Linked DNA regions of Elephas maximus indicus. The protein of the gene in region 1 purifies or fractionates together with the protein of each later gene. This does not show direct contact. Links are inferred from orthologs where the notes say so. Each region holds a gene or a part of one and is shown in the gene's direction. Other genes may lie near its edges.

What was found.
Region 2: the proteins of DDX21 (region 1) and RSL1D1 purify together in Homo sapiens (affinity purification with mass spectrometry; 3 studies listed by BioGRID and IntAct, with this or other methods). This does not show direct contact. The link is inferred for Elephas maximus indicus from reciprocal best matches to the Homo sapiens genes DDX21 and RSL1D1.

The regions. Positions count from the first base shown.
Region 1 is NC_064834.1:18,982,248-18,997,652, reverse strand, and holds the start of DDX21 (nucleolar RNA helicase 2), read left to right. Parts: upstream 1-9,442; 5' UTR 9,443-9,525; coding exon 9,526-9,612; intron 9,613-11,638; coding exon 11,639-12,088; intron 12,089-13,530; coding exon 13,531-13,606; intron 13,607-14,279; coding exon 14,280-14,458; intron 14,459-15,405. Other genes in the region: ATP-dependent RNA helicase DDX50, read left to right, coding at 2,081-2,350.
Region 2 is NC_064830.1:69,944,268-69,959,518, reverse strand, and holds the start of RSL1D1 (ribosomal L1 domain-containing protein 1), read left to right. Parts: upstream 1-8,798; 5' UTR 8,799-8,896; coding exon 8,897-8,986; intron 8,987-9,753; coding exon 9,754-9,893; intron 9,894-11,808; coding exon 11,809-11,947; intron 11,948-12,970; coding exon 12,971-13,119; intron 13,120-13,207; coding exon 13,208-13,309; intron 13,310-15,251. UniProt on the Homo sapiens protein: Regulates cellular senescence through inhibition of PTEN translation. Acts as a pro-apoptotic regulator in response to DNA damage.

The DNA.
Region 1 (15,405 bases):
GTTTGAATCCACCAGGTGCTCCTTGGAAACTACGGAACAGTTCTACTCTGTCCTGTAGGATTGCTATGAGTCGGAATCAGCTCAACAGCAACGAGTGATGGGGTTTTTTTTATCCCTCATTGCAGTCTCAGAATAACAGTACTAATTAACACTATTCTCAACAATATGACTATTGAAAACTATTTTAAAAAAATTTTTTTTAAGTATTTTTGTCCTTAGGAAGTATTATACTGGGACGTACAGCCAAGATTAATTACTGTGTTATAAAATCACTTGGGGGAAAAAAATGACTTGGAATACCATTCCTTTCTGTGTGGTTTTACTACTAATGGTGTATGCAGATTAAATTTTTTTTCTTTCAATTTTTTTTCTATCATTGTAGCCATCGTTCCAGTCCATCTCACCAAGGGGTCTCCCATGAGCTTGAGGCCCTCTGCTTCCCCAAATATGATGTCCTCCTCTAGCAGTTGATCCCTCCTGATGACATGTCCAAAGCAAGCGAGTTGGACAATGCTCTTTTGTAATCCTTAAGATTTTAATTGGCTAGTTTTCAGAAGTAGATCACTAGGCCTTTATTCTGAGTTTTTTTTAGTCTGACAGCTCCGCTGAAAGCTGTCCACCATGGGTGACCCTGCTGGTTATCGAAATACCGATGACGTAGCTTCTAGCAGCATAGCAACATGGAAGCCACCACAGTATGACAAACTGACATACAGGTGGTGGAATACCCCACTAAAACATAACTCATAGGTAGAATTGGATTACATTCATGGTAGACAAAGCACAGCTCCTTTTCCTTACCACTCAAGTTTTCACATTATTGAGAATGATCCTTTTACATCCATATATTTAAAAAAAAAAAAAAAACTCTCTTGTAGGGAAAACTTTCCAAAATATATCTATTTAAAAAATTTTTGTGTGTGTATATTTTTAAAAACAGTTTGTTTAACTAGGAAAGATTTCAAGTTAGGAAATAATTGTCAGGCGCATACATATATCTAACCTGCTTTTTTAAATTGGGTAATCTGTTATATTACACAGTTAATGCATGTTAATTGTAGAAATTTCAAAAAATAGAAATAAAAAAGAAAATAAAAATCACCCATAAGCTGAACTTGGAGATAACCACTGTTAATACTGCATCCTTCTAAAGTTTTATTGCATATTTGTATACATATTTTGAAACAAAAAATGGAATTGCTCTATTTTCGAAGCCTTTCTAAAAATTCAAAATATATTGTGAATACATCTCTGTGTCACCTAGACAGTTATTTTTAATGGCTCTGGCATTTGGCCATAACGGATGGCCAACCGTGCTAACCAATGTCGTATTTCTTGACACTTAGTTTATTTTCAGTAATTTACTGTTATACACAAGACTGTACAGATCATTGGTATAGCTAACTTTATGCATTGCCACGTTTACCTCTGTAAAATGAATTCTTAAAGATGGCTGCTTGGCCCAAAGGTTTGAGCATTTTTAAGGCTTTAGGTCATATATTGCCAAATCTACAAGTGTTGTGTGGGTGTTTGTTTCTTCCCACTGTCACCAACAAGATATCTTAGATATTAACTTTCCTTGGCAGCTCATGATCACAATGAACATGTGAATGTAGCAGGATGTAACAGTGATGCTCTTATGACCGAATGATTTGTGTATCTTGAGTTATTAATCTGTGTACCAAATTGTCTCCAGTGGCTACATGTCTTAGTCCCTGACTGGTGCTGACAGGTTTCTAGTCTCACCAGCTCTTACTGCTATCAGTATACCATTTTAAATCAATGCAGTACTTATTAATGGCATGTTTGCTTTGAAACCAGATGGTGCTCTTTTAGAGTTTATAAACTAAATATAGATTCTCAAAATGGGCCTGAGCATTTGTCCTGAGATTAAACTCAGGAACTTTAGTGGATGAGCTTTGAGCACATTTTTGTTCTTTGGTTTTCATATTTGTTCCAGACATTTTGAATTGAATGGGTAGATGGCCTTTAGCTAAGTGTAGTGATAATGGATATACTCATATGCTTGCTTGTAGTTTCTATTTTGCATTTGTATTAATCCTGTAAATTCCCCTAACAGGCAGAGTGGCATGATTCAGACTGGATACTCTCAGTGCCAGCCAAATTACCTGAAATTGAAGAATACTATGATGGAAATACATCTTCTAATTCCAGACAGAGGAGTGGCTGGTCAGGTGGCCGGTCAGGCCGGTCAGGAGGTCGATCTGGTGGCCGGTCAGGTAGACAGAGTCGACAGGGAAGTCGGTCAGGAAGTCGACAAGACAGTAGAAGACGAAGTGGAAATAGAAATCGATCAAGAAGTGGGGGCCACAAACGGAGTTTTGACTGAGCATTTGATAGTTAATCTACCAGTGTGAGCTTGTCTGTTTCTGCCTAATCATGTACATTACCCACCAAAAATTAGGTCATCATAGTTGAGGTATGTGTCTGCTGTTTGCAAAGAAGTTGGTCGTATTTTTTTAAAAAGTATTTCACAAGAATGGTTGTAAACAAATCTACTTATCCAGTTATACCTTTGAATAAAAAAAACCTCCTTTTATTGTCTCTTTTCACTATGCGTTAAGGATTTCTTCAGTGTAATCTTTTTATATTTCTTCTAAAATTTGGTAATCAAGATTCTACTTAAGGTTACTTGCTTTTACAAAATGTGTATTTTCAGGTCATTCCTCCTATAGGTTATGTGGTAGACAATACAAAATCCCTTCTGAAGGGCTGTGTAAATTGGTGATACATGGTTGGTGAGGTATAAAGAAAAAAACAAAACAAAACCTGCTGCCATAGAGTCGATCCCAACTCATAGCAACCCTATAGGACAGGGTAGACTTGCTCCATAGGGTTTCCAAGGAGCAGCTGGTAGATCCAAACTGCAGACTTTTTGGTTAGCAGCCCAGCATTTAACCACTGTGCCACCAGGGCTCCTTGGTTAGGTATAACACATTAAATTTCTAGGTGGAGTTAACTAAAAGATGTAAGAAGTGCACAACGATGTAGTCAACAAGTATTTATCGAATCCTACCATGTGTCAGTATCGATGCTAATCACTGGGAAATATTGTGAACAGGTATAATCATTATCCTCAAAGAACTTACACTCTAACAGACAGTCACGATAGAGATTAACAAGTGAAGGCCAAGCTACAGGTAGGCATGGGATGCTAAAGACCTAGAACAGGTGCGCCCAACCAGTTTTATGGGTTAGGAAGGCTTAGGAGAAGTGGTAACCAACAGAGAAGTAAAGCAAAAGTATGAGTTGATCTAGCCAAGTGTATGTGTATGGCAGGAGAGGATTTGCAGGCAGAGAAAACAGCATATGTAGAAACGTAGGGGCAAAAAATAACCTGGTAAGTCTAAAGACATACAACTAGTTCAGTATGGTTTACATGTGATAGAAGACAGGAATACAAGAGATAGGTTTTAGTATTAATTGGGCCAGATTTTAAAGGCCTTGTGCGTCATGTTAAGAAGTTTAAACCTTTTGAGGACAGTAAAAAGCAAAAAAAAACATTGTCATCGAGTTAATTCCGACTCATAGCGACCCTATAGGACAGAGTAGTACTGCCCCATAGGGTTTCCAAGGAGCAGCTGGTGGATTCGAACTGCCAACCTTTTGGTTAGCGGCCCAGCTCTTTAATGGTTCCCCCAGCAGGGAACCATTAAAGGGTTTAAAATAAGTACCATGATTAGATTTGTGTTTCAGAAAGACTATTGGCCACACTGAGGAGACTGAATTGGAGAAGGGCCAGACTTGAGGCCAGGAGACCTCTTCAGAGGCTGTCAGTGTAGTCCAAGGTAGAGGTGATAGTGGTGAGAACTGATAGGTATCATAGTTTGTGTGATGAGAACTCAGGCACTGGAGAGGTTGTTACTTGTCCAGAATCACCCAGCTGGCTAATGTATAATGGAAGGAGGATTTGAACCAAGGTAAGGCTGGCTTCTGAACTGGCGCTCTTAACTACTGTGCTAAATAGTGGCAGTGGATGTTGAGAAACATGGATAGATACCAGAGGTTTTTAGGAGACAGAGTTGTCAGCCTTGGTGATTGGATCAACAGATGAGACAGAAACAGAAATATGAAATTTAGATTTTTGTCACTGAGATAGCGTAATAGATGGAGAAACGAGAAGTTATGTGGATGGGGGTGGGCATATGATTAGTTCAGGATTAGATATATGTTCATATTGAGTAGTCCTTAGGATATATAAGAGGAGATAAACAGTAGCGGTAGGGTTTTTAGGTCTGAAGTTGAGGAGAGATACATTCTAGAAATGCACATTTGGGAATAATAAGCAAAAAATGGTAATTATAATCAAGGTAGTAGAGATTATCCAGGGCAAGTACAGTAAGAGGGCTAAGGAAGGAACCAAAAGGCATACCAATATACTTAACTGGATAACAGAGGAAAGGGAATCCCATCTATCTCACCCTTGAGGAGGGCAGAAAGCCCAGGAGGATGAGGTTTTTTAAAGGAACCACAAGAGGAGCCTCAAGTGACCACTGGATTTGGCAAAAAATAAATTTTGACATAGGGAGCAAACATTTTAATAGAATATTTAGAGGTCATTTAACAGTGGGTTCAGCAGGAAGTGGAGATAAAGAAGTAAGGACAGCAAACTTGGACAACTCATATATGGCTGCGAATAGGCAAGAAAAAGCTAAAGCTGGAGGAAGAAAAAGATGAGTTTGTAAGGGTTTATATGTGTGTATGGGGGGGAGTTGAGGCATGTTTGAGTGTGTTTAAATACTAATGGGAAGGAGCTGGTAAGGAGGAAGGCAATTGTGAAGATTCAGAAGAAAGTATGATGGAGCACAATCCTTAATGAAAACGCAGAGGGATGGGATCAAGTACACAAGTGGAGTTTTTAGCCTCAGATGGGAGAGACAAATCTCGTAACATTTTATCAGGAGGAAAGTAAGATTATCATGAGGTGAGTTTGCAGGTGTTAAGGTAAAAAGCCAAGGGAGTACCTGCCCCATGTCTTCTGTCTTTTCTGTGGTATTCCTACAAGTTCATCTGTTGAGGGTAAAGAAGGAAATATTAGGCTAGGAGATCTGAGGAGAGTGGAGAACTGCCGAAGTATCAACTATAGAACAAGAAGAGAGTTCACTAGGCAAACTGACAAGTCACAAGCAGCTTTGAGAGTCTAGCTGAGATTATAGACTGGACTTGTGGTGGCACCAGAGAGTGATTTTCCATAGCAACGCTCAACATTCTGGCGGTAGGAATGGAGAAGGGAGACAGTTGACTGATTCAGGATTAGGGTTTTGCTCTGAGAGAAATAAAAGGGTAACAAAGCAAGGATGTTGAGGACTTTGGTAAGACTGATGGGAGTGATGTTCCATGGAATCTAGACTGTCTAGGGATTGAAATGGAGATGGGGATCATAATGGAGAATGTAGAGGGGGCAAAGGACTAAATGTCAGCAAGGATTGTGAATTTGTGATTTCAAGAGTGGAGCAGGTAAGAAGACAAGTTGGAGGTGTGGTAGTAGGCCTGTGAGGATTAAGTTCATTTCAGTTGAAGTGGTCAAGGAGCTGAGAAACCAGGTGGTTTTCCTGGACAATGAAGTCTCTTAGGATGAAGAAAAACCAGCGTTGAGAAGGAAGAAAAAGACTAAGCCAGGTGCCAAATTATCAGTGTATGATGGGCAGGTTGGTAAACTATCTGAATGAGGAGTATATACAGTGATATTATCACATATCCTCAAAAGGACAAGGGCTTCTACATGAATGTGAAGGAGTAATAGTCTGGAAGTGGCTTTGAGGCTAAGAGGACAGTGACAGCAGAGTACATGGAATGTGATGGAATGAACAACATCTGTGTGAGAAAACTGCAGAGGGTATATTTTTCAGGTAGAGCCAGAATTCAGTTAAGCTAAGCTGAGGGAAAGACTGATGGATTGAGGAAGGGGAACTTTTGGTTATGGGAAACAGGGTTCCATAAGGCCATACCTGAGGAAAAAAAAAAAAATCTCAGTTGACTCTTATTTGCATAACTGTGAGCTCTAGTTATAGAACCAAGATAAAATAGAGGCTCAGTTCTCACTAAGATGCAGAAGTACATTCAGCCAGAATACATTGTGTGCCCACAATGTCCCAGGCAGTATGCTTTGGGTCCAAAAGTGAATGAAGAAGGCCTAATCTCTGCCCTCAAGAGCTCAAAATCTCATGAAATAGATGGAACATCATACGTGGCAATGAATGAAGGGCATTGATTTGAGAGCTCTGTGCAAGGGCACCTAGCCCAGCCCAGGAATAGGGATGGGGGCTCAAAGAAAGTTTTTTGGATATGATTGAACATGAATTAAGTCAGGTGAAAGAAACAGTGAAGTGGCATGGGCATCCAGACAAGCACAGAATTGCTAATAAAACAACACGGTCTAAGTATGAGGAACTGTAAGTAGCTCTTGGTGCCAGAATCTTCACGCAAGGAAAGGAGTAGCGAGAGCAAGGCAAGAGTCGCATCTTGGAGGGATTTGTAGGCTGTTTTGGAGAGCAACTGAAGACTTCTTAGGGAAGACAGCACAACAATTGTGAGGATGGCTCAGGACCAGGCAGTGTTTTGTTCTGTTGTACACAGGGTCACTGTGAGTCAGAACTAACTCAATGGCACTTAACAACAGGGAAGACAGTGAAAAAGTATTTGGGCAAATACCAATAGGATGAAAGATGGACTTAAGGGGCCTACCTACTGAAGACTGGCTTCCCTATTAGCCTATTCTCACCCAAGAAAGATGGGGTGAGTCCTAATAAGATTCAAAATAGCTCTCCATATCTTCTGAAAGGAGCTTTGGCTACACTCAGCCACTTATCTTTGCTCCTTCCTCTTGGCTCTGCCTTCTGGCTATTCAGAGCCTTCTGTTGGGTACTGTGTGCTAGTGTCCTCACTGAACAGTGGTTTGAATTTGAATCAGTCGCCCTTAGAATTGGGTTTTGAATTTATAAATAAAATGTTTTCTTCCCTTTAGCACTGTAAGTGTGAATAATGAATTCACATTTAGGAATGAATGTTGGAGAGCCTTCTCTCACACTGTTTTTGTTTCCTATATATTTTGGGGGTGCTGAATAGTCCTTTTAAACCATATTCTCTTTTTCTTATTAGTAATACATGTCTATTATTGGAAACTTGAAAAAAGGATCACAGCACCCAGAGATAACTACTGCTAACATTTTGTCATGGAGACTTCTGAATTGTGTGTGTGCATATGTGTATATGTATACATACCTTTTAAAATAGAAATTGTCCCCCTAATCTTAAGAACAAGCCCCTGGGTGGTGCAAATGGTTAATGCAGTTGGCTGCTAACTGAAAGGTTGGAGGTTCAAGTCCACACGGAGGCACCTTGGAAGAAAGGCCTGGCAATCTACTTCTGAAAAATCAGCCATTGAAAACCCTACGGAGCACAGGTCTACTCTGACACACGTGGGGTTGCCATGAGTCAGAATCAACTCAATGGCAACTGATTAATCTTATGAAAACATGTTACATCATTTAGGTCAAAGGAAATTAGTTTGGCAGAATTAATAATTAGGACTTTGCCTTTCCTACCAAATGTATATAAGGCCCATCTCTTTCACTTACTCCTGAATTTTATATTGATAACTAGATTCAATAATTTGACTGTCTTGGAGCTAAAAGGAACTTTCGGTGTGTTTCCCTCTTGGAATTTGGATCTTGTGCCACGTGGAGGTACGTTACAAAGGAATCTATATAAGCTTTGACAACAGTTTTCCATTTAGTAGTATTCTGGGGCTTATTCTCCTGTTAAACATCTGTTTAAGGTAATAAACACATCCCCCATACTGTATACAGCAGTATCACACGGTTTCTCAACCAGATTGCAGGTCCCTTGCGTCAGGGACTGGGCCTTGACTCTGTGTCCTTAAGTCCGAAGTACAGTGCTGATACCTCAGATGTTAAGATTTTGTCGGTTGATTCGTTGACTGCATTCAAGTGTGCTCCTCCTGTCACACCCGACACGAAGACGACTGAAGTGCTGTACTGCCTTTGCATCATATGTATCAAATTTATTTTGAGGGTTCCTCCCCCAATTGCCATTTTAGTGACCAACAAACATTTAGCGAGCCTGCTATGTGCCAGGCACTGTTTTTGAAATGCTGAGAACACAAAGATGGATAAGGCTCCTGGCTCAGGAATATCTGGGTGTAAGTTAAAGCATTGTTGCACATTTACATAAATTTATCTCTTAAAAAGGTAGAGATTGTGAAACACCAAACAATAAGCTGGTGAAACACGAGATTTTCCCTTAAAACTGTCAGATTAAAAAATGTGTAGTAAAAACTAATTTAATATAGAAATTGTTACAGCATTTTCCTTTATTTGTGCCATAAAATGAAATATTTTAAATTGTTTTTCCAAGCACTTGTGACACATCTGTTTTAATAGCTCTTATTTACTGTGCACTACTAAACCCATTTATTTAATTTTCTCAACAGATCAGGTAGGTTTTGTTATCTGTTCCATGCATGAGAAACTCAGGTTCAAACTAAGTAAGGTGTCAAAAATCCCAGACAAATAGTGGCAAAGGTAGGTTTCAATGCCAGATATGATGAATTGTCTCCCAATACTCTGGGTCACTAGTTCTTCAGAAAATTTAAAACAGTCACAGATCACTCAATGGGTCACTTTTCCTCAACTGCTTGCATATGTATATTGTTTGATACGCAAGACTGGGGACCCCTGTTATTTTCTAATTGAGGGCTACCGCGGTCAGCAAAGGCGCTCCTTGGAAACTCTATGGTGCAGTTCTCCTCTGACCTATAGGGTGGCTATGAGTTGGAATCGACTCGATGGCAATGGCTTTTTTTTTTTTTTTTTTTCCCGGTGGTTTGGGTGCCTTCTACTGGTCCCAAAGCTTGTGCCTTCAGAACAATGAACCCTTGTCTATCTCCTCCACCAGTCTATAAAGCTGCGCGGACAAGGCTTGTGTATTAACTGCTTCTGAATCCTAGCCCTTCTCTGCACACCTGACAGTGAATGCTCAGGGGATGTTTGTTAAGTGAACTGAACGTATGAATAAATTCTGGCGCTTACCTAGGCTCGTTAAGTGGCGGCGTCACCATTCGGAGTCTTCAGAGATGATCAGTCGCGCGCGTTTGTATGTGAAAGGGCTTTACAAATTTCTGCGATCTTAGTATACAGAAGAGCACTGAAAAGTCTCCATCTATCAGGCTGGGGTTGGCGAGAACAGTGTTTGAAAGAAAATACAAAGCTAACCTTTGTGGTCCTTCCCAGCTCTACCCTTTTGTAGGTGCCCCTCGTCCAGCCGCATTACGTGGTCAACTCCCTAAGTAACCCCAGGTAATGTCTGCGGCTGGTGACATAAAACTACCACGTGGTCCGCTCAGCCTCGCTGTGCGACCAGTTTCCGCCCAAAATGCTTTGCTACCGGAAGTGACGCAAGCTGGGTGGACTAAAGAGGTACTTCTGTCTCTTCCTCTCCACGCGGCTGACGAGCCCGGTTGGGTTATCGAGGTTGTCCTGAGTGATGCCGGGAAAACTCCTTAGTGACGCCGCTTTGGAATCAGACACGACCATGGGAAAGCTGGAGATACCGCCAAAGCAAAATGAGAAGGTGCCGCGGGGGGTTGAGGGACTCAGAGCAAGACAGGGCGAGGGGCTGGGCGCTGAGGACGGTGGGGCCCTGGAATCCGGGGAGGTGGCCGGGCTGGGCGGCGAGGACCTGGCGCGTCCGGAGTCGGGGCAGCCATCTCGGCAAGGGAGCCCCTAGGGAAGGTGTTGCCCGCCCGATGGAGCCGTCTCCGCCGCGCACCGAACTCTCCCTTTCAGCTCGGACGCATCCACCAGTCCTGGGGAGTTTTGGCAGCCAGGCCCGGGCAGATCGCAGCTGGAAAGCGGCCTGGGTGTCGCACGTGGTCCCCGGAGTCTGGGCTCCCGCATCTGATGGCGCGGAGTCGGAAGTTCACCGCCAGGACCCCGTTGGTTCAGACTTAATTCGGGTGTTAGCGTGCTCGAAGGCGAATTGTAAATTAAGTCCAGGCAGTAGGGACTGACCTGTGAGATCTTAAACCTATCTACCACGTGGGGAGGGATCTTTAGAGGACCGGCAAATGCTGGCAGCGTTAGCAGTGAAATTTTTTTTGCCGTAGTTAAGGGAAGTAGTTTGTTTTCTGAGAAGCAGCCCTTTGAAGACCAGGCATTTTAATTACTCCTAATATTTATTGATCAGATTTTCCGTGGAAATGTAAAGAGCCGTGCTGTGGTGCTAACTGTACACCATTTTTTAATATAGGCCAGCAGTGCAATAGTGTTTAGTTATCTTGACAGCGTCTGCTTTTTTGGTGTCGATTTCTACACAGTGATTTAATTTGTGCCTGAGTTTCTGTTCTGAGATAAGGTCAGTGGGAATGCAGATTGGCCCTGAACTTATTTTGTACATGACTTAGAGTACCTTTTCCCAGTTGTTTCTGAGTCTTTTTGATGGGGAGCTCTTACAGAATCAGCATTTTGGCATTGTGGGAAGACAAGGGAGCACAAACTTTTCTTCACAGTGGGGAGTTAGTGGTCCTGGTTTGCTTACTCTGCCTCAGTCAGTGTGTTCAGTGTGGGATGCTCAAATTAGGAGGGCACGACCAAACTCCATTATGTTCCAAAAGAGGCTCGTTGAGATGGGAAACCCACTCTTTTGGTGAGAAGAAGGGATGAAAGGACTGGAGAAAAGAAGCCTTTAGAGACCAGATTCCCACCCCCTAGTACCATCTTGTGAGAGAGAGGTTACCCCTAATCCGTGATTCTAGAACAGGGGCCAGGCCTGGAACCCATACCTGGAGTTTAAGGGAGGAAGATATCAACTCAGTATAATAGTGCTGAGGCTGTGCCAGGCTACAACACCTGTCAAAGTCTGACTGTAATAAGTTTTCAATAATGTGAAAGGTTAGGGTCAAATTTCAGTTAGCCATATCTACCTGTCTAGTTTGGTTTTAGGGTTTCATCCCTTCCACTTATTTGTAACATGTGCTGTTTTCGTATGTTTTGTTTTACTTTAATTTAGGCACATCATTTTTATGCATGGGGTGATAAGTTGTGGGGTTTTACAGCCTTTTGGTTCATAAAGTATCTTTATGTAAGTTCATTTGCACTTGAAATAGATAGGCAAGGCAGATATTATTAATCCCTGTTTACCTGTAGAGGAATTCTAGTAGGTACAAAGAAAAGAAATCTGCTTAACATCCATCTATAGGCATTTTAGGACCCTGTTATTCTGTCAGTGTTACATTTGAATGTACTCGATTGCTTTAGTTTAGAGCTGTTAGAGCATCCCAAATCTCTTACGAACATTTGATTTATAGACTTGTACGACCAGCATGAATTGAATAGTTACTAAGAGCCACTCTTGATTTTCCAAGCTAATGAAACTACGGATGTATACTTAGCTTCATATAGCTAAGAAGTGGTGCTAAAAAAAAATACTAAGTTTGATCTTTGCCTTATTGTAAGATGAAAAGTACAAACACTGAAATGCCAAAAAGAAACTTTCATTCTTCATAATTATCAGTAATCTTAAAGTCATCCAGAAGTGATGTATTATGCAGATGTATAGGAGCTTCGTTCAATGTTCAAATTTCTGTTAATTTTTTTAGAAAGCTAAGAAAGAGAAGCCAAAATCTAATAAGACTGAAGAGTCAGCAGACGAAAAGGAGGAAACTAGTTCCCCCAAAGCTAAAAAAATGAAAAAGAAAGCAGAGCCTTCTGAAGTTGAAATTAATTCTCCCAAATCCAAAAAGGTAAAAAAGAAAGAAGAGCAATCTCAAGATGACGCTATGTCTCCTAAAACCAAAAATGTAAAAAAGAAAAAGGAACCTGTTGAAAATCAAGTTGGGTCTCCTAAAATCAAAAAAGCGATAAAAAATGAGGAGCCTTCTGAAAAAGAAATGGGTGCTCCTAAGCCTAAGAAGATAAAGAAAGAAAAGGAAATGAATGGAGAAATTGGAGAGAAAAAGCCCAAACTGAAGAATGGACTTCCTCATTCTGGACCTGCCTCTAACTCCAGTGAAGCCACAAGTGAAGAGAGTAATAGTGAACTAGAACAGGTAAGTTTGTATTTTAATAGATAGGGTGTATTTTTCCTTCTTGTTTCAGATTAAAAGGTAGGTAATTCCTACACATTCTGTTTCATAAGTGGTAGGAAATTCGTTGTGTCAGCATTTCATAGCGGTCCCTTGAGCTACATACAGAGTGAAACTTCATCTCATTTTTCAAAATTGTATAGGATCAAAATGCCTCCTTTGTAAATAAGCAGATTTGTTTAAGCTTGGGGAAAGTTTTCTCTCCTTATTTGCAAATCAGTAAATCAATAGGAGAGATCTTGTACAGGTGGAACCTAGCTTCCCTGGTTTTACCTCATCAGGATTAAGTGGAACTCCTGAAAAAGTATTTGCTTGATTGCAGAAATGCTTTTGTTCAGGCTCTTAACTAGCTGAAAGCCCTGGTGGCATAGTGGTTAACTGCCATGGCTGCTAACCAAAAGGCTGGCAGTTTGAATCTACCAGGTGCTCCTTGGAAATTATGTGGCAGTTCTACTCTGTCCTATAGGGTCGCTATGAGTCAGAATCGACTTGATGGCAATGGGTTTGGTTGCCATCAACAAGATGAGTAAATTTCTGTCTAACTTGGAAGCTAATTCTGTTACTACCTTTCAGAAATTCAGTTATCAAAGAAAAACATAATAAGCAATTTTCTGTGTGCCATGTATCAGAAGATGAATGTTTAAAAAATTTTTTTCCTGATTATAACAAATACGCGATCTAGAGAATTTGAAAAATTCATAAATTCCGCCCTCCTCCCCCAGAAAATCACTATAATTTCAGCATTCATTCATTTATTAAATATTAAGCATTTTCAAGGTACAGTGGTAACCTGTTACTAATTTTTTTTTTGTTTCCTTATGTAGTACTCTTTATATATACAACTGTTTTTAAATTAAAGTTTTTAATGGCTATATAATCTATCAGACGAATGTTTAGAAATTCGGTTATTTAATCGGCATTCAGGTTTTTTACTATCAAATAATGCCACAAGGACCATCTTTGTTCATAAAATGTTCTTTGTTTTCTATGGATGTCTATGAGTGATATTGCTGTGAAAAGGGCTGGATGTCTATGAGTGATATTGCTGTGAAAAGGGCTGGTGACTTGTTCAACAGGGTGTTGACAGTCATATTCATTTGGAACGGCCATGGGATAGTTCTTAGTCGAGACTGAGTCTCCCTTTGCCAGCCGTGCATACTTTATGTGCAGTATATATTTGGTGTAGATTCTTTCTTTTGTTAAGGTTTTATAGATTATTTCCTTTTCAGAACTTGATTTACCAACCAAGCCTTTTGTGTCTGCTCGGTTGACTTTAAATTATTATGTCTACAAGGGATGTTTTAGAATAGGTTCCTTCATCTTCCTTAGGAGGGTTCTCTTTGTTAACTTGTAGGGGCAGAGTGATTGATTTCCTGTTTCCAATGCTGTCCCCCTTTACCCAATAGGAAATACCAGTGGAACAGAAAGAAGGAGCTTTTTCTAATTTTCCCATATCTGAAGCAACTGTTAAACTTCTCAAAGGTAATATTTTGGAAATACTATATCCATACATAAAACCTTATTTTGAAATGCTCTGGTATTTTGTGGGAGTGACCCAAGATATATTCTTATGCAGCCATGTAATGAGGCATTCCTGCCTGCTCAGTATAGGACTGTAGTTGCGATGGCCTTTACTGCCTCTTAAAGAAACAACATTTATTCAGAAGTGTAATGACTCATGTTGCTGGTCAGATTAAATGAGCAATGTCATGGTAGTGTTTTCTGTTTTATCCTCTAGGTTAATGACGCCAGCCTAACTGAGAACTTTAGTAGTCTGCCTGTGCACTAGCTACTTAGTCACAGATGCTAGACTATAGGTATTTTCTAAATTGTTAAGTGCAGCACAGTTTGGACTGCAAAGCACCTGATTTTCATATTAACACAAATAAGACTTCATAATAAGTGACTTATGCAATCTCTTAAATTGACAAATATTTACCATATTTTGTGCTTTAGAGTTTATCGATAGTTTTCAGTTGAGCAGGTTCTTTACTACCAGAATATATTTGAAGCTGACTTTGTAGAACTCAAAATTTGACCCGAAAGTAAAATTCCTTAATTCTTCAAGATCAGAAACATGGGTTACTTTATTGCCTCAGTATGGCTGGTATTTTAAGAATTGCTATATCAGGTAACAAGGTTAATGTGTTCACAGCTCGTGGGGTGAACTTCCTGTTTCCTATACAAGCGAAGACATTTCATCATGTCTATAGTGGGAAGGATTTAATTGCACAGGCACGGACAGGAACTGGGAAGACATTCTCCTTTGCCATCCCCTTGATTGAGAAACTTCATGGAGAACTGCAAGACAAGAAGAGAGGCCGTCCCCCTCAGGTAACTAAAACATATCTCTAGGGCTCTGCATTGTCATAGGGGGGAACAAAAAACATCTCCTTAGTGTTGTTTACATACGTTTTATTTTTTATTTGGATCTCTTTAAAGTCACCCATTCTATCTCCTGCAGATAGAATTTTTTTTTTTTTTAAACTATCGACTATTGACTCTAAAGGAGACCCTGGTGGTGTAGTGGTTAAGAGGTACAGCTGCTAACCAAGAGGTCAGCAGTTCAGATCCACCAGGTGCTCCTTCAAAACCCTATGGGGCAGTTCTGTTCTGTCCTATACGGTCACTGTGAGTCAGAATTGACTCGATGGCAATGGGTTTTGGTTTTATTGACTATAAACCTTGTATTTAAATATTGTAATCCATCCCTTGATTGTGATCACCTGTATTATTAATCCTCTTCATGTTCCCTGTCCCTGAGGGTCATGTGTTTTTGACCTTTCTAGAGAAGCCATTTTCAGTAGGGAAGCATGACTAGAAAGAGGCACTCAAAGAGGGGAAGAGGCCAACCCCTTTATTAGGATGGTGCTTGTTAGGCTCATTTCAGGAGAGCCTGGCATTTGACAAACCTTAACCTCACTGAATAACTATGGAGGAATGACCATAGGCTTTGGCTTCATAGAGGCCTGGGTTTGATTCTAGACTATACTTGCAGAAGAGGTATGTGACTCTGGTCGAGTTATTTACCCCGTTATCATCTTAGCTGTGGGGTCTCACACCTGTCTTTCTGTCCTGACCTCACTTGCTCACTGGCCTTCCAGTGTCCAGGCTTCCCTTTCATTAATTCACTTGTTTACTTCTATGGCCCTGGCACCTAGAAGAGTGCCTTAAACATGGTAGATGCTCAGTAAATGTCTGTTGGATGAATGCATTAGATTGTTGTTCTTCAAGGAAGTTTGTTTCATGCTGTTCCCTGTTCAAGGATCTATAGTGGTTTC
Region 2 (15,251 bases), on another chromosome or scaffold:
AAGTAACTGCCATTTTAAGCCCTTATTTCTTATTTCAGGAGAGGGGGAAACAGCATCTGTTTGTTTTTAATTTGCAAGGACTTACCCAGCAAAAACCTATGTAAGTTTAAGCCAGAAGACTGAGTGTATTGCCATGAATTAAGTGGCAAAGAGTAAAGTGATCTTGACTAATTTAGCTCATGTAAATCTGTTTGTTTTGAATTGAAAGTCTTGAAGTATGTGATAACTAAATTACAAATTTTGTAAATTGTAAAAGAATATAGGTTGTTCACTGTAACATGAGGTCATTCATATTTGTCTGTTAGTTAAATTACAAGAACTGTTTTTATAATATGGAACTTTGAACATGATATAATGAACAATTACTGGCATCCCCTCAGCTGGAGCGCTGCAAATATTTTGGGTCACATTTGCAATCAGGTGCAGTTTTGTGAACCTATGGTCAAAAATTGCTCCCATGATGAACTTTTGAAAATAATCAACTTCCCTGGTGACTGACCTTCAGGAACGCTAGTTACGTGATTACGCTGTGATCTTTGATGACTACTGCACATGACAGCACTCTAGCACCTTTCCTCATTGGCATGGACTTCCTCATGGAACGCTGCTTCGTGGATGAAACTGCTTTGGGTAGGGATTAAGATAGTCAAGGCACAAATACACAGTTTTTATTACAGCTCTTAACATTAGGCAACTTTGAACCTTTAAACCTGTTATGAAAATTCTGGGTGCAGCACTATAGCTCTGATTATAGGATGATTAAATGTTATACTCAGTGTTGGCCTACCTTATCAGAACAAACTGTGCCATTAATCCTCTCACAGACATAGGTAAGGTAGATAGCAATCAACTAGATTTGAGGATGATTTTTATTTCCTCCAGCTAATTATACAGTGATTCTAGCAGATACCATCTAATATATTCATGGTCTTGTTTCATTCTGCCAATGGCAGAAATTTGTTAAATAAGTGTAATTATATATGCACAACTCAAAAGACTTAAGTTTCCATTTAGCAGTCAGTTGGTTATATTAGATTCCACAGGAAATGGAATAGGAAGTATTTTTATTTCCCAATAGTAGTAAAGTGGATTCCATTTGAAACAATTACTGCCAGGATTCAGGTAAGGTAGATTTGGTTCAACTTTCTCAGTGGTTTTGGCTCTGGGATATTCTTGATTTTCAGTATCCTAGAACATTGAGTCTTCCCTTCATTAAACATACTTTTCACATACCTCTAATCCTATGCTTCCTTGAAAAAATAATACTGGCTGAGTTGTTTACTAAGGAGTTATTATAAGGGCCTACAGGTGTGGGACTGGAGATTAAAACCTTTATGTTTTGCAGTATAAGGGAAAAACAGGTACTATGCCAGGATTTCTCATCTCTTCTGCCTTGTCACACATGCCCTTTAAAATCTAACATGGAAACCTCAGGTTTGTGGATAGCAAAGGTGGAATGACATTTTCTACTTCCGAGGTTCCCCTGTACCAGGCACATTAGCTAGTGTTTCAGATGTCAGCCCAAGTCCTTGCTACCTCCTTTCCTGCTACTGGTGGAGAGCGTGTGCTGGGGCTGGCGCTCTTGCACCCCTCAGGGGATTGTCCTCCCTTCCATTTTCTCTACTCACAGAAGTGTAACAGGTCTAAGCCTGGAAGGTCTGCATTTTAAGGACTCATACTTTGGGCTCAGAAATTTACATACCCTTTACTTTCTTCAGTTTATTTCTAAAGGAAATGAGGATATCTTTCAGGCCAGGATTAAGTGAATAATTTTTATTAGATAACAGGATAATATCTAGATCTTTTTTCTTTTTTAATAGGATTAAAGGGAACTGACTTAAGTTAAAAGTTTTTTAACCTAATTTGAAAGCACGAAAAAATGTTCTAGAAAGGAATTACAGGAATCCAGAGGTAAAGAAACCTGTTTCTTATGATTTGTAGCTACCTACTGTGCCTGACATGGTGCCTGTGTGAGGATTAAACTCTTAGTCTGCTCTTGCAATTATTCAAATGATTGAAAAAAAAAAAAAAGCTTTTGTAATAACAATAAAAATTGTCATCTTCCCTTTTAAAGGATTTGTCTGTTTGTTTATAATCTTGTATTTCACCAGACCATAAGTGTGTCTGTCCACTTTGCATACAATCCTGTATTTTTATATCAAGTACTGGAACTGTCTACCAGATTTGTTGGATGGATCTGATAAGCTGTCAGTGTAAGAAATTTACAAACTTGCGGTCTGCTTGCATATGGTAAGCAAGGCTCGTGTGGTGTACATGACTGAACCATAATGAAAACAGCAGCCCTATAAAAAACTAGAAATGCTATAAGTAACGTGGTTTTATCTGAACAGCAGACTTAGGGAAAATCAATGATTATTCTGTCAGAACTGTGAACCTCTATATTCAGTATTTTTAATAAAAATCAAGAAACCAAACGGTACTTGCCCCTCTTTACTGAGCAAGGGCAAAAGAAATTAATGGTAAACAGGTAATATACACAGTTGTTGGAAGTCCCTGGGTGGTGCAAATGGTTAAAGTTCTCAGCTGCTAACCTAAAGGTTTGGAGGTTCAAGTTCACCTAGAGGCACCTCAGAAGAAAGGCCTGGTAATCTACTTCTGAAAAATCAGCCACTGAAAATTTCATGGAGCACAGTTCTCTGATATACGAGGTCACCACGAATCAGAATCGACTCAGCCATAACTGGTTAAACACATGGGTTAAATGAATGAGCAGCAATACATTCCTATACACTCATCTTTTATTCTGTGAGCTAGAATCAGTTCCTGCTTAAACTATAACTCCAGTGTTTTGGTACTCACCTTCTAGTTTAGGGGTTTGGCATTAAAGCAGTCTTAGTTTAGTGAGCAAGCCTGCTATCAAAAGAGAGGCTCAATTATAAAAGTTCTAAGTAAATGGCTTTTGAGACCATTTCCCAGTAATGGTTGTGGGGTGCCACTGAGTCAGTTATGACTCACAGCAACCCTGTGTACGACAGAACGAAACAATGCCCAGTCCCCTGCCATGCTCACAATTGTTGCTACATTTGAGCTCATTGTTGCAGCCACTGTGTTCACTCCTCTCTTTTGCTGACCCTCCACATGACCAAGCATGATGTACTTCTCTAAGGACTGGTCCCTCCTGGTAACATGTCCAAACTATGTAAGATGAAGTCTCACCATCCTCTCTTCTAAGGAGTATTCTGGCTATACTTCCAAGACAGATTTGTTCATTCTTCTGGCAGTCCATGGTATATTCAATATTCTTTGCCAACACCACAATTCAAAGGCATCAGTTTTTCTTCAGTCTTCCCTATTCATTGTCCAGCTGTTGCATGCATATGAGGCAACTGAAAATACCATGGCTTGGGGCAGGTGCACTTAGTCCTCAAAGTGACATCTTTGCTTTTTTTCTTTTTTTTTAAACACTTTAAAGAGGTCTTTTGTAGCAGATTCACCCAATACAATATGTCGTTTGATTTCTTGACTGCTGCTTCCATGAGTGTTGATTGTGGTGCCAAGTAAATGAAATTCTTGACAACTTCAGTATTTTCTCCCAGTAATTAACCACAATTTTGTAGTCTTAAATGACTAGGTCTCCCATCCCGCCAATCAAACATCTGTACTTTATGCGGGTTATTGAAAGAACAACTGTGTTGTCTTTGGGCATCAAACACATATAGGCACTATACTACAAAGGGTAGATACCAATAATAATGTCTTTGTAGTTCTCACAATAGAAATTTTTACAATTCTTGGCATATGCAACCAGTTTCAAAGACTGCAGCATCTTCCTATCAACACATCTTAAAACAGAAAAATAGCATTAATACCTTGGTGTAGCTTTGTGATGAACAACTGTAGAACTACTGATGAACAAATAACAGTAACAGACTTTTAAAGTCCCCCCAATATAAAAGGAACTACGACAACTAGTTTCGCCTTTTTGGCCATGTGAAAAAAGGTTCTGGAAAATTTTATTTTTATTGTAGTACCCTCCTTAGTGACAAGGTTATTTCTTTTTAGCCTTTATAGCCACTTTGATGCTGTATGAATAATTTTGAAACTCATGTACAGTTATGACATCCCATTTTAGTTTTCCTTATATTTAATTTTTTCTATATAGTTAATTCAACATGCTGGTCTTAGAAGTGAAAATTTTCTTGGAATTACATTTTTTTTCTAAAGGCTTTGTGTGCCCAAATTACTTGCATGAAAAGTTCATTTTTTCCCCCATGTTTTCTGCTAGAAATAGATTGCCTAAAACAAGAAAAAAACAAAATTCCTGTAGCTGACAAATATTTTTGTTATTCAGTTACACAAATTTGTGATATGATCCGTCTCCCTCTCAATGTGCACTGGATCACATTCAATGTTACTTGCACGTTTTCTTAACTCATGCCATCTCCATATTTGAGCTCTCAACATTTCACTTCAATGGAAACAATGATAATCGTGCCCAAATTCATAAGAATAAGCAGTAATGGTTAAAACTATGATTTATACAAGGTTAATTTATATGTTAGGGCATTTTCATTTTTAAAAAATTCTAATCTCTGGTTTAAGAGTTTAGTCAAGAGTCAGGCTACTGAATGTAAGGTACTAATATGAAAAAGAACTGGTCCTGTAACAAATTCTCTGGGACACAAAAATACTTTCATTCAGTTTTTTTGCCTTAGTGTAAAATTTTTTACAAAAAAGTCCCATTTTTTTCCTATCACTTACTTTACTCATAATCCTTTCACTGAAATTGCTTTCTACAAGGTCACCAATGACCTAATTGCTCAACAAAATGGCCTTTTATCAGATATATTCTCAATTTCTACAGTATTTGTCAGTGCTAACACATCCTCAGATATCTCCATTCCCTTGGCTACTGGAACAGGGAACACTTTTGGTTTTCTTTTACACACTTAACTACTTGCCTCTTTTATTGGCTCTTTCCCTTCCTTTTCCCTAACAGAGGGCTTCTCCACAGCCCGAATCTTTCTCTGTATCTCTTTGCAGTCTCATTTATTTCCACAGCTTTAACCAGCACGTTTATGAAGATGACTTCCAAATTCCTTCTGCAGTTCAGAAGCACTCCCAGATTCATTTTGATGTACACTGGAACTTAAAATGTTGAGAATAAATATCATATCTTTCCCTCCAAATTTAAACACCATCCATATGCCCAGTTATTCAGGCTCAAGAATTTGGGAGTAATCTTTGAATTCTCCTCTTCGTATATTCGGCTTTTGATGAAGTCTTAAAGGTATTTTGTCCTCACTGCCATCAGACCTCAATACCTAGAAAACCACCATAGTTGCCACTGCTCTATCCCTAAGCCCTGTCTCAGCCATTCCAATGTATTATTCATTCATTACACAAATACTATGCTATATATGGGCTAGGTGCTAAGGATACAATGGTGAACGTATCATAGAGTCCCTGCCCTCTCAGAGTTTATCCTCAAACTGGGGAAAGCCAAATAATGGTAGAAAATTTTTAAATGTTTTGGGGAGTGGGGAGAACCTAAGCTAGAATTTTCCAGAAGTAACTCTAAGCAGAAATCAGAAGGATAAGTAAGTGTATTTAGGGGTGGAAGTGCAAGAAGGTGGCAGTGTTCCAGAAGTAACAGTGTGTCGGAAGGTCTGAAGACGTGGGAACTGCATAGTTAAAACTACAACGTAAAGACAAAAGGTGAGCAGTAGGGTATGAATCTGGGGAGGTAATAAGGGCAGAACCAGATGAAAAGTGCCTGGCCTGCAAAGGTGACCATATAATTTATTTTTCAAACTGAGAAACTTTTGTCTAGGACAAAGGCTAAATCAGAAAGGACACCAGACAACGGATGCAAACTAGGATATATCTAAGGCGAATTAAGGAATTAGTGCCTTAAACTGTTCCTAAAGAGAGTAAGAATCCAGTGAATGTGGTTAAGCATGATCAGGTTTGATATGATCGGATTTGCATTTCAGAGATCATTCCAGCTGAAGGGTGGAGAATGGACTATAAGGTGCAAAATTGGAGGTAAGACAAGTTGGGAGGCTGCTGCAGTAATCTAAGCAAAAAAAAAAAATATATATATATATATGATAGCCTGCACTACAGGGTGGCAGGGATAAAAAGAATTGGATAAATGCACATTTAAAACATAAAACATATGAACAACAAGACTTTATTGACTATATATGGGGGATGAGGAGACAAGGATGACTCATTCTGGCCTGGACAACTAGGCAGCTCAAAGAAAACATGGGAAAAGGTGCAGCTTTGAGGGGAAGATGATGAGTTCATGACTTGAACTTGTGCGTGAGGTCCTTGTAGAACTTCTGAGAAGTCCTTTAGACAGTTGGAGATATAGGTTTGAAGATGGGAAGTCTATAAATCTGTATTAGTTATCTATTGATGGAAAACAATTTACCCCAAACTTAGTGGTTTAAAACAACAAGCATTTATTATCTAATAGTTTTTGTGAGTCAGGAATCTGGGAGCAGCTTAGCTGGATGGTTCTGGCTCAGGGTCTCTCATGAGATTACAGTCACCTCAAGATTTGACTGGGAGAGGATCCGCTTCCATATTCACTCATATGGTTGCTGGTTTCCTTGCTACATAGACTTCTCCATGAGCTGCCTGAGTATCCTCCACAACAGAATAGCTGGCTTCACCCAGACCAAGTGACTTGAGGGAGGGATGAAAGGAGAAAGATAGGAAAAAAAGAGAACGTGTAAACTGCAATCTTTTTGTAACCTAGTCTTTTAAGTGACATCCTATTTTCTATCACTTCTGCTACAGTTTATTTGGTAGAAGCAAGTCACTAACTCAAGGAGAGGGAATTAAACCACACTGCTTTAAAAAAAGTATCAAAGAAATTGTAGACATATGACGTCGTATCTTTAAAAGAACCACAATACCACTGTCAGATTAATAACTCCTAAAGTGTAACTGAACACCCCCTTCTTTTCTTCCTTATCGTCAGTTCAAAACCTTTGTGTCTGAGCTTCTGTTAAGCATGATTGAGAAACTAGAAAGGGTTAATGGTGATAACTGAACAACTTAATAGATTTACTGTCACTGAACTGTACATATGAAGACTGTTGAAACGGCAAATATTTTGTTATCTACATATTTGCCACCAAACCAAAATTTGTTGCCTTCAAGTCAATTCTGACTCACAGCAACCCTATAGGACAGAGCAGAACTGTCTCATAAGGTTTCCAAGGAGTGGCTGGTGGATTTGAACTGCTGCCTTTTTGGTTAGCAGCCAAGCTCTTAACCACTGTGCCACCAAAACACACACACACACACACACACACACACACACACACACACACCCTCTTGTGTCGCCATGATTTCTCCAAAGTAAGTATAAACCCTCAGCTTGATAATGAATTAATTCCTGACCTATCATTCTAGCTTCACCTCCTGTCCCTCCCCTCTGCATATCCCTGCTCCAGCCACTTATTGCTTTCAAACACCTCCAAGTTCTTTCACCTGAATTCATTTGGTTTCCTTGGCCTAGAAGTCTGGTTCTTAAACTTATTCAGGTGACAGAGCATCCTACAGCCCCAATACTGTTTTAAGAATACTAGAAAATGTTAATACATCAAACCTAATGTAAAAATTCATTGTTCTGTGCTAAATCTAATTCCATTTTATAATAGATTCTACAATAGACAAACAGAAATAGGTGCCAAAGATTTAAGAACATTTCTTCAAAAAGGTGGATTAAAGACAAGACCATTATTAGAGATTAGTAGCAGAATATCTCTTTTTCCAGCTTCGGAAATAGGAAAGGAGCATTTTTTCAAAACAGTTGACATGGAAAGCCTTCTACTTCCATTCTTTCATCTCTCAAAAATCTTACTTAGCTGGTTGTAAGAAAGACCGGAACCATCTCGAATATCCATCAAAAGATAACTACATGAACTACAGTATATCTACATGGTGGAATGCCGTGCAGCCATTAAAACAGATGAGTGACTGGGAACAATCTCCAAGATACAGTACGAGGAAAAAGGAAGTAAGGGGGGAAAAAAGATGAAATTTAAATCCAACGATCTATAAAAAGCATCGATATTTCCACAATATGCCTAGGACATCTCTGGAAGGTCACTGGAAAAACTGGTAACACAGGTTACCTCCGAGGATGCCAGGAGGCAGATGGGGACCTGAGGAGGGAAGGAAGCTTTCTACAGTATTCCACCGTGCCCGTTATCCAATCTCCACACTTACTTGTCTATGCTCTTATTTCCCGCCTCTGGGAGACCGGAGCTCCTAAGAGACTGAGTCGGTTCATCTCTCGGCCCCTCGCACCGCTTAGCGACGTGCCCGACGTCCCTTGTGTTACTTCAGAGTCCTCGGCCCCCTGTGAGGAGGCACGACCGTTCTCCTCGCGTTTGAGGAGACTGGAGCTCGGAAGCGTTAAGTGGTTCGTCCGAAGTCACACAGTAGGTGGGTGGTGGAGCCAGGTTCCCGGGCAGACCTGCGAGACTCCAGACCCGCGTTCTCCCCACAGCCCCACGCGGCCTTCCGAAGGCGGGCCCGGGGGAACGGACGGCTCCACGGCTCGGCTGACGGGGCTCCTCTCCCGCCTCAAGGCGCTTTCTCGATTTCTTTCGTGTCAGAGTGAGAAAGAGTTGTCAGCAGGCCTCACACAAACCAGGAGGAGAACGGAAAAAGAGGAATGTGTCCCAAGAAAATCACTCCGACTGCAGCCGGAGTAACTCAGTCAACTCGCGTCCGCCCCCCTACGGTAGCGCGACGCCCAGGAACCGAACCTCGCGCTCTCACGGAAGTGATGCAAGTAGGCCCGGTTGCCGCCCCTTTACTTCCGGCTGCGGGCCTGGCTTGGCGCGTGCTCGGGAGAAGTTACCCTGGTGGTTCCGCACGCTCCTCTGCACGAGGTGAGGGCGGTATGGAGGCCTCGGCGTCGACCCCAGCCTCAGCCTCGCCTCCGGCGACCCCGGCCGCGGCGGACCCGCGGCTGGAGCTGAGCAAAACACAGGTGAGTGGCCCCTGGGGAGGGCGGTTCGGAAGCGGGGTGCCCGTGGCCCTGTGAGGCGCGGTGGTGCCTGATGAGTGGCCGGGGACCTGGCGCACCTCTGTGGGCACCTCCGGGGGCTGGGGGAGAGGGGTTGGGGGCGGGGGACACTTGCTCGCTAGCGCTTCAGCCTGCTCGCTTTCTTATCCGTGCGGTTTGGCGCCTCTTTCCCCGGCCCGCGGCCTGGCTCTCTTTAACTGGATTGCAAATTAACTTGAGGTCTGGAGTGAGAGACCTGGCTTTGCTTCCCAACCGTTTGGTCTTAGCCAAGTCACTGAATTTTGCTAGCCCCGATTACCTCTTATTGAAAGGGGGCTCTTCGGCCCTCCATTTGCCGGGATCAGATAAGGTAACGCAAGTAAAGCGCTGTAGCCAGGGGCCTGGCGCGTTGTAAGCGCTCAGTGAATGCTAGTTGCAGTTTGTGTTGCTCTTTTACCGGGATTATCTCCTTCAGGGATTACCTCCTTCATCGTTGAGGGCCGGGGAAGCGTATTTCTGTCTGGCACAGTGTCTTATGTAGAAGACGTGGCTTTCTGTAGTCGAGGGGTGGAGGCAGATACTTAGGCGATTTCCCATTAATTCTTACATTCCGCTGAGTACACATTGCCGGTTCCTAATAGGTATGGTTATGGAGGTTGCCTATTAAATAGAAGTCAGGGCAAAAAACAAGGGAGGGAGAAAATGTCAAATTAGATCGAGATGTAACTTAATTTTGTGTTTCCACTTTGTAGGTTAAAAAAGCAGTGAAAGCTCTATTGGCACATTCACAGTCCAGAAAAAATGCTAATGAAGTGCTTCTGAATGAGAATGAAACTTTATTTTTGATGGTGGTGTTATGGAAAATTCCAAAGAAGGAGCTGAGAGTCAGATTGTAAGTTTGATTTTCTACATTTGCTGTTTTCATCTGCATTGTCTTTCTTTGTAACTTTAACAAGTGCAACTTAGTTTTTAGTGGTTACGTTGCAAACTCAAAATAAAAATCTAAGATGAAATAAATAATCGTGCCTAGAAGAATGTTAGGAATTCAGGCATGCTAAGGTTTTCTAGAAATTTCACCAGCTTTCTGGGAGCTTGGTAGCCAGTTCACCTAAGCATTTCTACTGAATCCAAAACTGAGTTTTAGAGAGAACAGAGATAGAATAAACAGCTTTTGTATTTTAGTAGACTCTATTCTTTTCACGTCATACTATTTTTAGGCTAAAATTCATGAGGGCCTGGACCTGCTCCTGCATACAGAAATTATTAAAAATTTGGAGTCTCTGGGTAGTGCAAACAGTTAGCATGCTCAGCTGCTAACTGAAAGTTTGGCAGTTTGAGTACACCCAGAAGCACCTAGAGAGAAAGGCCAGGCAGTCTACTTCAGAAAAATCAGCCATTGGAAACCCTACAAAGCACAGTTATACTCTTAACACATATGGGGTCGCTATGAGTCAGAATTGACTGACAGCACCTGGTTTATTAAAAACTTGGTGGTGAACTCTTTTTTATGGAAAAAAATCATTGTGGTTACATATTCTTATTGTTAGAAGTTGTAGGTCAGAGATGCCCTCTGTAGAGTTGACATATTTATGGCATAAATATGATTTGTTCAGTATAAGGAGATCCCATGCAATATTTGGGACCTCCTTATAATAAACAATGATTCGTTGTTTATCTGTTTAACTGGGCATTCTATATTGTATCTGCCTTTCTGTCAAGTCTCTCGTATCCTGACAGTGACAGAAAGTCAGCTGTCCTTAAGAAAGCATTGTGTAGGATAACTTTCTTTTCTCCATAGGGAGGCAAGAATGGTCTTCACAAAACTGATGTTCACAAACCTGCTTCAGCCAGAGTGCCTTGTGTATTGCTTTGTGCACTCCATGTATGTTCTTTTTTCCACACCTTTGCTCAGGTGGTTTTTCGGAAAGCCTTTTGGAAACCCTTCTCAAACCTTTCTAGGGTGTTACTCTTAGTGATTTCTACCACTTACCAGCCTTTCAGCACTCACCTTTCCTCTCAAGCCGTGCTGCTGTGTATTGCCATCTCTTCTTAAGCTAAGGAAATGTTGTTTCCTCAGAACATGGAGGCCTAGGGAACAGGTTAGCCTATTTAAGACTTGACATAATCATTGCGTGCTTGCTGGTCCCTCCTGGTTTTGCTCCATGTTTTCTGTTTCAGCTCTTGTTATTATTTATGGAGCTAAGAGTTTTCCAGAAAGTAAACTTCTAAGCCAGGACAATCCTAGTGAAACTAGTTAGCCTTCAAGTCAATTCCAACTCGTAACGACCCTATATGACAGAGTATAACTGCCCAGTAGGGTTTTCTAGGCTGTAATCTTTATAAAAAAAAAAAAATTTTTTTTTAATCTTTATGGGAGCAGATCTCCAGGTCTTTTCTCCCACAGAGCTAGCTGCTGGTGGGTTTGAACTACTGACCTTTTGTTTAGCAGCCGAGCGCTTAACCGTTGCACCACCAGGGTTCTTTTCTATGTGTTTGGCATATTATGTATGCAACATAGATAATATTAATTACATGTGTAATATTTGGGGCATCTTTGTTTACATTTTAACTCTTTTTAAGTCCCAAATGTTAATTGATCTTTCGACCTCTGGGTATTTGTAGCGATTTCCTTGAATCTTAAAATCTCTTTTCTGTGTTATTGAAAACTAGGTATATGGTACAGCAATTGTTTAAATAACATAAATGAAGGTTATTGAAACAATAGGAAACTTGTATATTTTGCAGAGTATAAACATACATATTGTTTGTAAGGATATTTTTCTCTGCTTCCTTCTCGTGTTTTGCAGGTCCTTGCCTTATGCTATTCGATCAGATTTAGCAGAAGTCTGTTTATTTACCAAGGATGAACCCAATTTAACTCCTGAAAAAACAGAACATTTCTATAGGAATCTGTTGAACAAGCATAAAATTAAGACCATTTCTCAGGTAAGGAGCAGGTTAATATTTTCAAGACAAACGATTAATTGAAGTGATGAATAATACATTACTGTATATCTTAGTGTTTCACTGTTTTTCTTTTTGTTTTTAATTTAACTTTTAATGAAGTTAAATAGCGTATATTCTGTTTTCCCTCTGCTGCAGCAGCTATCAAGGTTGGTTGACCTGAAAGCTAAGTGTGTACTGTCAGTAACTGGTCTCTCTTGTGGATTATACAGAGGTTGCTCTGTCGTGTCATTCCCTGTACTCCCAGAGCATCCTTTTGTTGCCTATGATTTAGCATTTATTGCCCTGTGCTGCAGTTGTTGGGGGTGCCCTGGTGACGCAGTGGTTAAAGCACTCAGCTGTAACCAAAAGGTTGGCGGTTAGAATCTACCAGCCCCTCTGTGGGAGAAAGATGTGGCAGCCTGCTTCTGTATTACAGCATTGGAAGCTCTATGGTGCAGTTCTACTCTGTTCTATAGGGTTGCTGAAAGTCGGAATTGACTCGACAGCGGTGGGTTTGGTTTTTGGTTTTGTAGTTGTTAGCTTACTTGTCTTCGTTACTGTCCGGGTTGAAGTTTCTTTAGCTGGGGACCCACCTTATCTGTCTCAGTGTCCCCAGTGTTTAGCATTATACCTGGCACATTTTAGGCACTCGGGTTTACTAAACTGCGATCGGTATGGCTCTAAACCAGAAATACCAAACCAGTTGGCCTTGAGGCGATTCTGACTCATGGCGACCCCAGGTGTTGCAGAGTAGAACTGCACTCTATAGGGTTTCCAAGGCTGTGAGCTTTTGGAAGCAGATAGTGAGGCCTTTATTCTGGTGTATCTCTTGAGCGCCAACCTTTCGGTTAGTAGCCGAGCACTTACCTGTTTGTGCCCCCACAGAACTCCAGGCATTGTTTGCATGACTCTAGGATGCCTTAAAATCTGAATAGGGTGGAATACCAATTTTTGTCTGAATACATCTTCTTCTTGTTCCAGTTCTTAACTTTTTGTGATTTTATTTTTCTTTATATTTTCTAGATTATCCCCCTCCGAACTTTAAAAAAGGAATATAAACCCTATGAAGCCAAGCTCCGCCTCTTGGGTAGTTTTGATTTCTTCCTTACTGATGCAAGAATCAGGAGGCTTTTACCCTCAATTATAGGGAAACATTTCTACCTCAGAAAGAAGTAAGTTTCTTTGTCATGACCATGCTTCACCAGAATGAAATTAATAGGTGTGTGTCCATTTGTATTCTGAATGCCTGTGTGTTTTTAGAGTCCCAGTATGTGTAAACCTCCTGGCCAAGGATTTATCAAAAGAAATCAATGACTGTATTGGTGGAACTGTCATGAACATCTCTAAAAATGGTTCTTGCAGGTAGGTAAAAGGGATTACTACATGCTTATATTTAATCTGGTTTATTTTAATTTAAATAGCCACATGTGGCTACTGCTTACTGTATTGAATGGGGAAGCTCTAGATATTAAGGAAATGAAAATAAGATGAATACTTAGAGAATATTAGTGGGTCAGGATTTTCATGTCAGCCAGTATCTTATTAGTTTATTGGGTAGAGTGGTGGGTGAAGTTTGAGAGCTTGGCAGTTTACCAGATTTTAGAAGTGGGGATGTGGCCAGTTTTAAACACTTAAAATACATGTATGAAATATTTAATCTGCTCATTTGGGCATCTTGTGTGGGGGTGGGCACCTGCCAATAAAGCCCTGCTGTGCATTTCCTCCTAAAGACGAAGAGCCCGGGTGTACCCAGTGGTAACACATACCAGGAAACAACCAAAGAGTTCATGACTGCCTAGCAGGAAGGCCAGCCCAACCATGTAGCGCAGAGCAGATAGCTGGGCAGGACAGGGGGACTCTGGTATTGCCTCCTGCCTGCAGGTGGAAAGTCTCTGGAATAATGTATAGTTGAGTGACTGAGAAGAGTAGATTTTCAGGCCTAGGCCCTCCACCTCCCTGGTTTATAGGCTGGCGTCGGTGGTTGTTCATGGGACTTGGTTAGCTAGGTCAGGGGTCTGGCTTGTGGAGCCAGTAGCTAGGAGAAAGAGGGGGCAGAACCATGAAGGTAGATAAGGGGGAAGAGTTTCCTGCCCTGGGTTTTTCCAAGTCAAAATCCACAGTTTAAGGAAGACTGTAGACAACTGCCCCCCGCCCCCCCCCCACCCAAAAAAAACCCCGCAAAACTTAGACCATTCTTTCATCTCCCCAACACAGTAGTTTTCCCTTCTTCTGGCTACTGTCTTTTCAGCTGGGAAGCCAAGGATGTGCTTGCAGGCCGGGGTGAAGGGCACACAGAACCCTGTGTTTGGCTAAAGGGAGCTGGAAGCACCAACCCCTGCCTCATCATTATTCTGCAGACACCCGACTGTGGGGTGTAGCAGGGACAGGGAGTCCCACTGGCTGAGCGATACGCTTTCCTGGATTTCCCACTTGGCTTACATCTCTGCTTCATCTGAAGGATCATTTTGCTGTTGACCAGAAGACAGTATTATGTGAGAAATGAGGACTGTTTATTTTTGAAGGGAGCAGCTTAGTTGGGGCAGTAGGGCTATAAAGATACCAGGCAGCAGCTTTCCACTTGCGATTCCTGAAGGTAATTCCCCTTGGACAGCTTGATGCTGACTCCGGCGTTTGGCATTTGCTGGATGAAGGTAGAGCTGCCCTGCCCACTGGCCTTCCTGGCCTCACACAGTTAAGTACCAGCCCATCTTGAATCACCTCTCTGTTACAGCATCTCATTTCAGGTATAGGGAATTTCTAGAATGTGAAACCTACAATGAGAGATGATATTCCTCTAACTTATTTAGAACCTGAAAGCACTGGAGAAAAAGAAGGCTCCAGGAATTGACAGAATACCAGTTGAGATGCTTCAACAGATGGATGCAACGCTGGAAGTGCTCTGTGCGAAAAAATTCGGAAGACAGCTACCTGGCCAACTAACTGAATGAAATCCGTATTCATGCCCATTCCAGAGAAAGATGATCCAGTGAAATGTGGACATTATTGAACAATATCTTTAATATCACATATAAGCAAAATTTTGATGAAAATAACCTAAAAATGGCTGCAGTTGTACATCAACAGGGAACTGCCAGAAGTTCAAGCCAGATTCAGAAGAGGACGTGGAATGAGCGATATCATTGCTAATGTCAGATGGGTCTTGGCTGAAAGCAGAGAATACCAGAAAGATACTTACCTGTGTTTTATCGACTGTGCAGAGGCATTCAGCTGTGTGGATCATAACAAATTACGGACAACATGGCAAAGAATGGGAATCCCAGGACGCCTAATTGTGCTCATGCAG